2 linked regions of the Kluyveromyces lactis genome follow. The protein of the gene in region 1 purifies or fractionates together with the protein of each later gene. This does not show direct contact. Links are inferred from orthologs where the notes say so. Each region holds a gene or a part of one and is shown on either strand. Other genes may lie near its edges.

What was found.
Region 2: the proteins of RAD53 (region 1) and YTA7 purify together in Saccharomyces cerevisiae (affinity purification with mass spectrometry, with the first as the bait; 3 studies listed by BioGRID). This does not show direct contact. The link is inferred for Kluyveromyces lactis from reciprocal best matches to the Saccharomyces cerevisiae genes RAD53 and YTA7.

The regions. Positions count from the first base shown.
Region 1 is NC_006042.1:1,025,723-1,030,106, reverse strand, and holds RAD53 (serine/threonine/tyrosine protein kinase RAD53), read left to right. Parts: upstream 1-1,536; coding exon 1,537-3,978; downstream 3,979-4,384. Other genes in the region: DNA replication protein SLD5, read right to left, coding at 4,251-4,384. UniProt on the Saccharomyces cerevisiae protein: Controls S-phase checkpoint as well as G1 and G2 DNA damage checkpoints. Phosphorylates proteins on serine, threonine, and tyrosine. Prevents entry into anaphase and mitotic exit after DNA damage via regulation of the Polo kinase CDC5.
Region 2 is NC_006037.1:856,745-861,336, forward strand, and holds the start of YTA7 (chromatin segregase YTA7), read left to right. Parts: upstream 1-1,713; coding exon 1,714-4,592. Other genes in the region: KLLA0_A09779g (uncharacterized protein), read right to left, coding at 1-264; GOT1 (Got1p), read left to right, coding at 735-762, 951-1,345. UniProt on the Saccharomyces cerevisiae protein: Functions as an ATP-dependent nucleosome disassembly factor that helps evict canonical histone H3 from the 5'-end of genes upon their induction.

The sequences.
Region 1 (4,384 bases):
AGTAAAACAGATAAGCTGATATTTACGTCTATTCTCAGAAGTAAATGATATTAGACGTTCAAGTTCAACAAAAAATGAACCTGCCCAGCTTTTGTCGATTAATTGTATCTTTGTTTACTGAGGCAAAACATTGCCTGATGTCGTTTTCCTGTTTTAAAGCAACTTTTTCCCTTAAAATAAAACTGTCAAAATCGTAATTTAATTGAGATCACTGAATCTTAACGTTGCAAGCTGTTGCCAATTGTACTGGTATGCACCATACCTATCAGTTTACATGGTTTTAGGGAAGTAATGATGGGTAGTTAATTTAACAAAAATATTATGTAGAGGAATGCATCTTTCCTATACAATGTCCAATTTATGAACTAGTAGTAAATATAAATAGACTTCAAAATCTGACGCGAAAGACTACTGAGCCCGGCTCTTGTATTTAAAGGGTTTCCTTGGGAAAAACTAACGGATGTAGTAGACTTTTTATCCAGTCCTGATTCTGGGAACAGGTCATTTAATTAGCAGATAGAATGGTAAGAAACTTAACATAACGTTATGGAGGTATGTGAGATTAATAATTTACGATTTTGTTATTTACCGTAACATTACGGTTAAAGTTGACGGTATGATTTGAACCTTCACCAGTAGATCAAAGCTGATATATAATTTTACTACATAGCTATCTCGTTGAAGGACATTATTGCAGTATTAATAAAACGAAAACTTATATATATCATTTCTTCAATCGGTTATGGGGAATTGTCTTAACGAATGTTTTAAACATGAATAGAACCTAGTTTTTTCAAGAAAAGGCTCTAACAGTTCAAATACAATAACGTTATATGAGCAAAATGCAAAGAATTTCTGAAAATTCGGAGTGTTATGCTTGATAGCAACCATATCGATTTATAATCTTTACTTCCATCTATTGATAAGTAAAGATTTTAAAGTCTTTGTAGCATGACTGGAGTTAGAATAAGAAACAGCTGATACAAGTTATTCAACCATGGTATTTACTAATTGATGCCATATGGATTGTTGCAGTATAAACCGGCTTCACATAGTTCTGAAGAAGATTCGGCACCAATCACCTGATGCCGCAATGTGCCATAATAGAACTTCTATCAATGATTCCGTTCTATTTACTCAAATTCCCACTCCAACGTTGTAGCAGTGCCGAGTAAAGACTGATCCATCTTTGATCATTGGCTTTGTATATATGTATGTACTTTTACGCGTCATTGTAATATTTAATGTTCATCGAATATTTACGCGATTTAAAGGTTGACATTTTTCTGAAATAATCTGGATCTTTGAATTGCAAAAGCGATCATACACATTATGAAAGAACGATTTATTCCATTATTCATTAGCTTTGTGTTGGCAGTTTAGTGGGTATACACAGTCACAACCGACTATAGAATAGCACACTTGTGAAAATCGTTCTATATTGAGGCATTAAGTTGTCCCTTTGAGGTTTGCCGTTACCTTTCCCAGCCTCTTTAGAGATCAACTGATCATTGCTGTGCAAACGAAGATATTGACATGGATGATATAACGCAACCGACACAACAAGCCACTCAGGCTACACAGAAGTACCTAATAGATAAGTTTTCTCAGGAGAAAATAGACGACGATGTGGTGTGCAGAGTAATATGTACAACTGGTCAAATAAGTCTACGGGACTTGAAGGTTCAACCTGAAAGTATATTCAAAAAGGAATCATCAATTAAAAAAACATGGACCTTTGGAAGAAACCAAGGATGTGATTATTATCTGGGGGATATTTCAAGACTGTCCAACAGACACTTTATGCTAATGCTGGGTGAAGAAGGAACTTTAATGCTGAAGGATACATCAACCAATGGAACATGGTTAAATGGAGCGAGGATACAAAAGGATACGAATCACATCTTGACCCAAGGGGATGAAATAAGTGTTGGAGTCGGCGTTCCCAGCGATGTCGTTAGTTTAGTGATTTTCATCAACGATAGTTTCAAAAATAGACTAAAAGAACTCAATATGATGAAGGATGTGACTTCACCTGCTTCATCTTCAAAGAGCAAATATCAGATATCAATGGGACATACAGAATTAAAAGGAATACACAAATACTATTCGATATCAGATTCGATTGTTGGTCAAGGTGCTTTCGCTACTGTGAAGAAAGCTGTCGAAAGGTCAACAGGCAAAACATTTGCGGTCAAAATAATTCATAAGAGAAAAGTAATGGATAAATTTGATGGAGTGAAGAGGGAACTAGATGTATTGCAGAAATTAAATCACCCCAGGATAGTTAAACTTAAGGACTTTTTTGAAGACAATGATAATTATTACATGTTGATGGAGTTTGTCAGCGGAGGCGATTTAATGGATTTCGTAGCAGCCCATGGAACTGTAGGCGAGGATGCCGGCAGAGAGATAACACGACAGGTTTTAGAGGCAGTAAAATACATGCATGATCAAGGAATTAGCCATCGAGACTTGAAACCTGATAATATAATGATAGAGCAAGACGATCCAGTTCTTATAAAGATAACCGATTTTGGCCTGGCAAAAGTACAAAATCAGAATACATTCCTGAACACTTTTTGTGGTACTCTAGCATATGTTGCACCTGAAGTTATAGACGGGAAAAATGCTGAAGATAAAACTAATCGAGATCTGTATTCCTCACTTGTTGATATGTGGTCAATTGGATGCCTAGTTTACGTTATTCTTACAGGTCACTTGCCTTTTAGTGGTCAGTCTCAGAATGAATTGTTCAAGCAAATAAAACGGGGCTCTTATCATGAAGGACCATTAAAGGATTATAGAATATCCGAAGAGGCAAGAAACTTCATAGATTGCCTGTTGAATGTGGACCCTAAAGAAAGAATGAACGCAGGAAAGGCCCTGCAACATCCATGGATGAAAATGGCATACGTTGATAGCATGCAGTCACAAATATCCATCTCACAATCCTTGTCCCAGCAACAATTTGTTGACAGTATGAATGAGGCTGAATACGAATCATACATTGCGAAAAAGAGGTTAGAGATTATCAAGAAAGAAATAACGGCGCCTGCTGCAGAAACTAATAAAGAGCCTGTATTCAAAAAACCACAAATTGCACCATCTAAAATTGCACAATCCCAAAACTTGCAGTTTAACTTTTCAAATCCTAATACTGGTAAAGCTATTAATGTTAATTATAAATCTGGTGAAGAAGGACTTTCAAACAATAAGAACAAAAAGATCAATAGACCACTTACAAAGGTCAATGGGGAGGGGCTATTTCTCACTTTGCATTCCTTACCTGGCTCATCTATTTCAGGTAAGGTCCAAGTAAAACAAGGGATAAATCCATTCTTCATCGGTAGGTCAGACGAATGCAACTGTAAAATTGATGATAATCGTTTATCTAGGATACATTGCTTCATATTGAAGAAAAGACACGCTGTCGGTGACAGTATTTATGAATCTCCAGCTCAAGGTCTTGATGATGTATGGTATTGCCAAAGTGGTACTAACTCAAGCTATGTTAATGGAAAGAAAATCACTCCGGGCACAAAGATCTTACTTCATGATGGCGATGAAATCCAAATTATATGGGATAAAATCAATGATGTCACTGTTTCTTTCCAGCTTGAGTTCAATGATACCACTGGTTTGTTCCACGAGGGGAAGCTGGATACCAATGAGAAAACAAACAAGACACTTCTACATAAACAGACACAGGAGGAGTTAGCTTTAGTCCCTAAGTTTATGGAATTTATGAAGTCTAGATCATCACAACATGCCAAATCTAATATAAACCAGTCCTCTTCCAGTAACATAGATGCCAACTCGCAAAATATCGAGGAATTAGATTCTGTCGTTGAGATGAACTCGACTACAGGATTGAAAAGAATACATTCAGTGTCGTTATCTCAATCTCAACCGCAGACAACCAAAAGGGCTAAGCTTGCCCAAGCCCAGAAACCAGATATTGAAGGATTTCTCTGAGCTGATCATATGCTTGCCGGATGGGTTTTGCATACAGTAAATATGAAAAATAGGTACACTTTGAGTATGCTAGATAGACTTTTCAACGTTAATTGATGTAATACTAATACAAATTGGTTCAAAAGCACTATAGACCAGCAGTCAATAACACTAGGTAGAAAACATGCTGTGTTCGCAATAACATTGTTGAGAAATTATTGCTGGCAAACATTCGTTACAAACCTATATTTTTCGAAGAGTCATAGGTTCAGTAATACTGTTCAGAATTTTCATTATATTAAAACTACTCGTCCCTCAGTCATGAGATCTCGTATTACACTATAACGTATTACGTATACTGCCCCGATTAATAAGTAAATTTCTTCATTTAAATCTTCAATAATCACTGAGTAACAGTGTTTTCCAT
Region 2 (4,592 bases), on another chromosome or scaffold:
CCCGCACCTTCTACAGTAATACCATGGAGGATACGTCCAGGGAAGCTGGTCGATATCAGTACCGGTATTGCAGCTACTGGTAGTGGTGGAATTGGTGGCATTATTTGGTATATCATTGGACGCATCATTTGATTCGTCATTTGGTTCATCATTTGGTTCATCATTTGATGCCTCTTGATGCCGAGAAGCACCGGTAGACGAACCTTGTCCGACTGCTTCGTCATACGACGGAAGAATACCTGATTGTTTAACTGACGCTGCCATTATAGAATGTTGGGTCACGTGCCTAACAGCCAACGGCTCCTTCCAACCTTTCTTCCATGCATCTAGTTAGACATCTGGCTTATGCGTGTCTTATATATCCATGACTCGTCTAGCAGATGAGTGAACCATCATATCCACGCAATAACATGCAAATCCACGGCTCTAAGGTGGAAAAAGGAACCCTAAATGGTGTATAGTAATGGTGGCTTCAAGGGTATAAACCATTGGACTTAATAGCAACGGCCGGTAAATTTGCTGATTCAAAGCCTCGAACGATTTTCGTTACCCGGAAAACACAATGACCGGGTAACACTTCACGTCTTTTCAGTCCAGAAGCCCAATCGCGAAAAGCGATGGGCTTCTGGACGAGCGCAGTAAATATGTGCACATTAACGCATCAAGATAGGCACTGTTTGCCTCTCTATATATGCTCATAGTATTTGATATACACGCAACAATAGCACATAACAATGAGTAGTTGGCTATCGGAGTCACAGCGTATGTTAAACCATGTATGCGTTTACTATTATTTTTGGTTTCCCTTTACTAACATTTGTTATTTGAGATCGGCCAGTAAACTCATGCGAACATAAGGGAAATAGAAAGACGGATTGTTCAATCCGTCTTTCTATCTCACTTTTGTTACAGTACTTGCCAAAATCTTGAAATCCCACTTATCTCCCCAGAATTCGGTGCTGTGTTCACGTTCGGTGGATGTTTGTTCTTCCTTTTTGGTATCTTCACCTTCTTCGATAGAGCACTATTGGCTGTTGGGAACATCTTGTTCCTACTCGGCGTGCTGCTGATGATAGGCCCACACAAGACTCTCAAATTCTTCACTAGACCGACAAAGAGACGTGGGACCTTGTTTCTCGTGTTTGGGATATTCATGATCTTATGTAAGTGGACGTTCCTTGGGTTCATCATCGAATCGTTAGGTATAGTCGGTCTATTCGGCGACTTTTTCGGCGTGATCCTCCAATTGCTGAGGTCCATTCCTATAATCGGACCAGTACTGTCTCACCCTACCATTGCACCAGTCCTAGACCGTATAGCTGGTGTGTCAGTGCTTCCTGTGTGATGTGTGAGTGTGTGTATCTATATATATATGAGCTGTATTCGGGAATGGTTACCCTGTCCAAAATATGTCGATTACCCTACCTGAATATACCTCTAAATAAACAAAACCAAAAAGCTCCCAGAACCAGTTTAAGTTGTGTTCAGAGATTTATAACGATAATATACGGCATTAAACACAGCTTTTAAGGATCAAATTGGCGTTTTGGGCCATTAGACAAGCCAATTGGGTTAGGTTCGATTGTTATTCATTAAATCAGAGACTTTGTGGGGTGAATTTTGTGTGTCTCTGTCGCATTCTTTTTGATTTCTACAGTTCCGAAACTGCAAAATAAGAAAAGCCTTTTAGAAGTTTAGATCAAAGGAATCAAAATGACGCTCCATAGCAAGAGCGGTGACGATGAATCTGGCACTCATACTGAGTTTTACGATGATAATGGGATTGCTCATACCACACCGAGGCTGCTGAAAAAAGTTAACTACGCAGAGATTGAGAATGGTTACGATTATATCGAGGAATCTGATACGAATTCTGGAGGAACAGCCGCCGTTGGTGCTAACTATTCAGATACCGGTACTGGTAGGCGTCGTGGTAGGCGTCCCGGTCAGAGGAACAAGAGGGTTCGTGATGATGACGACGATGATGACGTTTCGTTCCACGAGGAAGATGTAGACGATGATGACGATGACGACGACGATGTTGATGACGGCGATGAGTATATCGACCCAGCAGATGATCGCAAACGGATAGCGAGAAGAAGAGATAAAAATTTCATTGTCAAGGACGATGAGGATGGATCTGATGGGAATGAAGATTATAGTATCAAGGAAGAGGATCTGGATGAAGATGAAGATGATGGAGATGAGGATGAAGAGGATGACGATGGTACTGTGAGACGTGGAAGAAGACCAAAACGGTCTGCAGCAAGAAGTACGCGTAGGGAACAGCCTCCTCGGAAGTTAAGGCCGCATAGAACCAGATCGTCTCGTGTTGTAGATGACGATGAAGACGACGATGATACGGTAGGTAGCGGTCGTCATAGATCGGCAAGTGCACGTACTAGAGAAGCGCTTACACTTGAGGACGAAATTAGAGAATTACAGGAGGACAGTCCTATCAGAGAGAAAAGGTCTTTGAGAGAACGTACAAAACCAGTAAATTACACGATCCCACCACCTTTGTCTGAAAATCAAATTGGTGCTATGGAAGCTACTTCGGTGCCAGGAATACCTCCAGGAACACTTCCATACCAATCATCCGTTTATCAGTCCCCAAGAGGTAAACGTGGTTTACATTCGGGTCAAAGTTTTGGACCTATTAGAAGGTTATTCCCTACCGGTGGTCCATTTGGTGGAAACGATGTTACGGCGATATTTGGTAAAAACGTTCAATTCTACAACTCTAATCCAAACGCTCTAAACGAACAGTCAAACAAATTTTTGGATTCTGATTCATCCGATGACGAAATCTTAGCTTTGGGTATGAAACCGAAACCAAAGGATCCATCAAAACAAAAGAAGAAAAAGAAACCGGAAATTGCAGATTTGGACCCACTTGGTGTCGATATGAACATTAATTTTGATGATGTCGGTGGTCTAGATAACTACATTGACCAATTAAAGGAGATGGTGGCATTGCCATTGTTGTACCCAGAACTTTATCAAAACTTCAATATTACTCCACCTCGTGGTGTCTTGTTCCATGGCCCACCAGGTACAGGTAAGACTTTGATGGCTAGAGCATTGGCCGCAAGTTGCTCAAATGAGAAGAGAAAGATCACTTTCTTCATGAGGAAGGGTGCTGACATTCTTTCCAAATGGGTTGGTGAAGCTGAAAGACAATTAAGGTTATTGTTTGAAGAAGCAAAGAAACATCAACCGGCAATCATTTTCTTTGATGAAATTGATGGGTTGGCTCCAGTTAGATCTTCCAAACAGGAACAAATCCATGCCAGTATCGTGTCGACAATGTTGGCATTGATGGATGGTATGGATAATAGAGGTCAGATTATTATAATCGGTGCTACGAATAGACCAGATGCAGTGGATCCTGCTTTAAGAAGACCAGGTAGATTTGACCGTGAGTTCTATTTCCCTCTACCAGACTTGAAGGCTAGAGATAAAATTTTGCATATTCACACCAAGAAATGGAATCCACCTATTTCAGATCAATTTATTTCAAAGCTAGCCTCCTTAACTAAAGGATACGGTGGTGCTGACTTAAGAGCACTTTGTACAGAAGCATCTTTGATCAGTATCCAAAGAAAGTTTCCACAAATCTATAAAAGTGAAGAAAAGCTAAAGATTGATCCTAAATCAGTTAGAGTCAAGGCTAGAGACTTCATGCTTGCACTAGAAAAGATTGTACCATCATCTGCTAGAGCTACTGGCTCTACAGCGCAGCCTTTACCAAAATATGTTGAACCGCTCCTCGCTCAACAATTTATTAACGTCAAGGATCAGCTCAACTTACTACTACCCAAGCAAAGCACAAAATTGAAATCGGGTTCCTCCATTATTCAATATTACTTAGAAAATGAGGATCTTGAGGATTCTGATGACGAAGAAGGTACTGGATTCGATAAGCATGAATTTTTAAAACTTATCAAGAAATCTCGTGTCTGCAAACCGAAACTTTTGATCACAGGCCCGCCCGGTAACGGGTTACAATATATCGCTTCCGCCACACTACACTTTTTGGAAGATTACAATATTCAAATGCTTGACATTCCTACCTTGGTATCGGAGAGTAGTAGAACGATGGAAGCAGCACTTGTACAAACATTCGCGGAGGCTAAGAAGCGTCAACCCTCTGTAATTTGCATACCAAACTTAGAATTATGGCTCCAAGCCTGTCCCCAAAGTTGTCTCATCACTTTAACCACTCTTTTCAGATCATTGCAGAGTAATGAAAACGTGGTTTTACTAGCTATCGCTGACGGCTTATCTCGCGCTGAAATTGAGGACGGTCCACTTGCAATGTTTTCCTTTGGGCCCAACATAGTGAACATTAACGAACCCTCCCCTCATCAAAGGTTTATGTATTTCAAAACCGTAGCTGATCTTATTAAGATGAAACCGACTCAATACATTGAATCGAGGAAAAGGAAGAAGCCACTTCCAAAATTACCTGTCGTCGAAACCTCACAGGAAATAGATGAGAATGGCAGACTTTTAACAGAAGAGGAGAAATTGAGACTGGAATTGAAAAAGTTCCAACACCAAGACATGAAATTAAAGAACACCTTGAA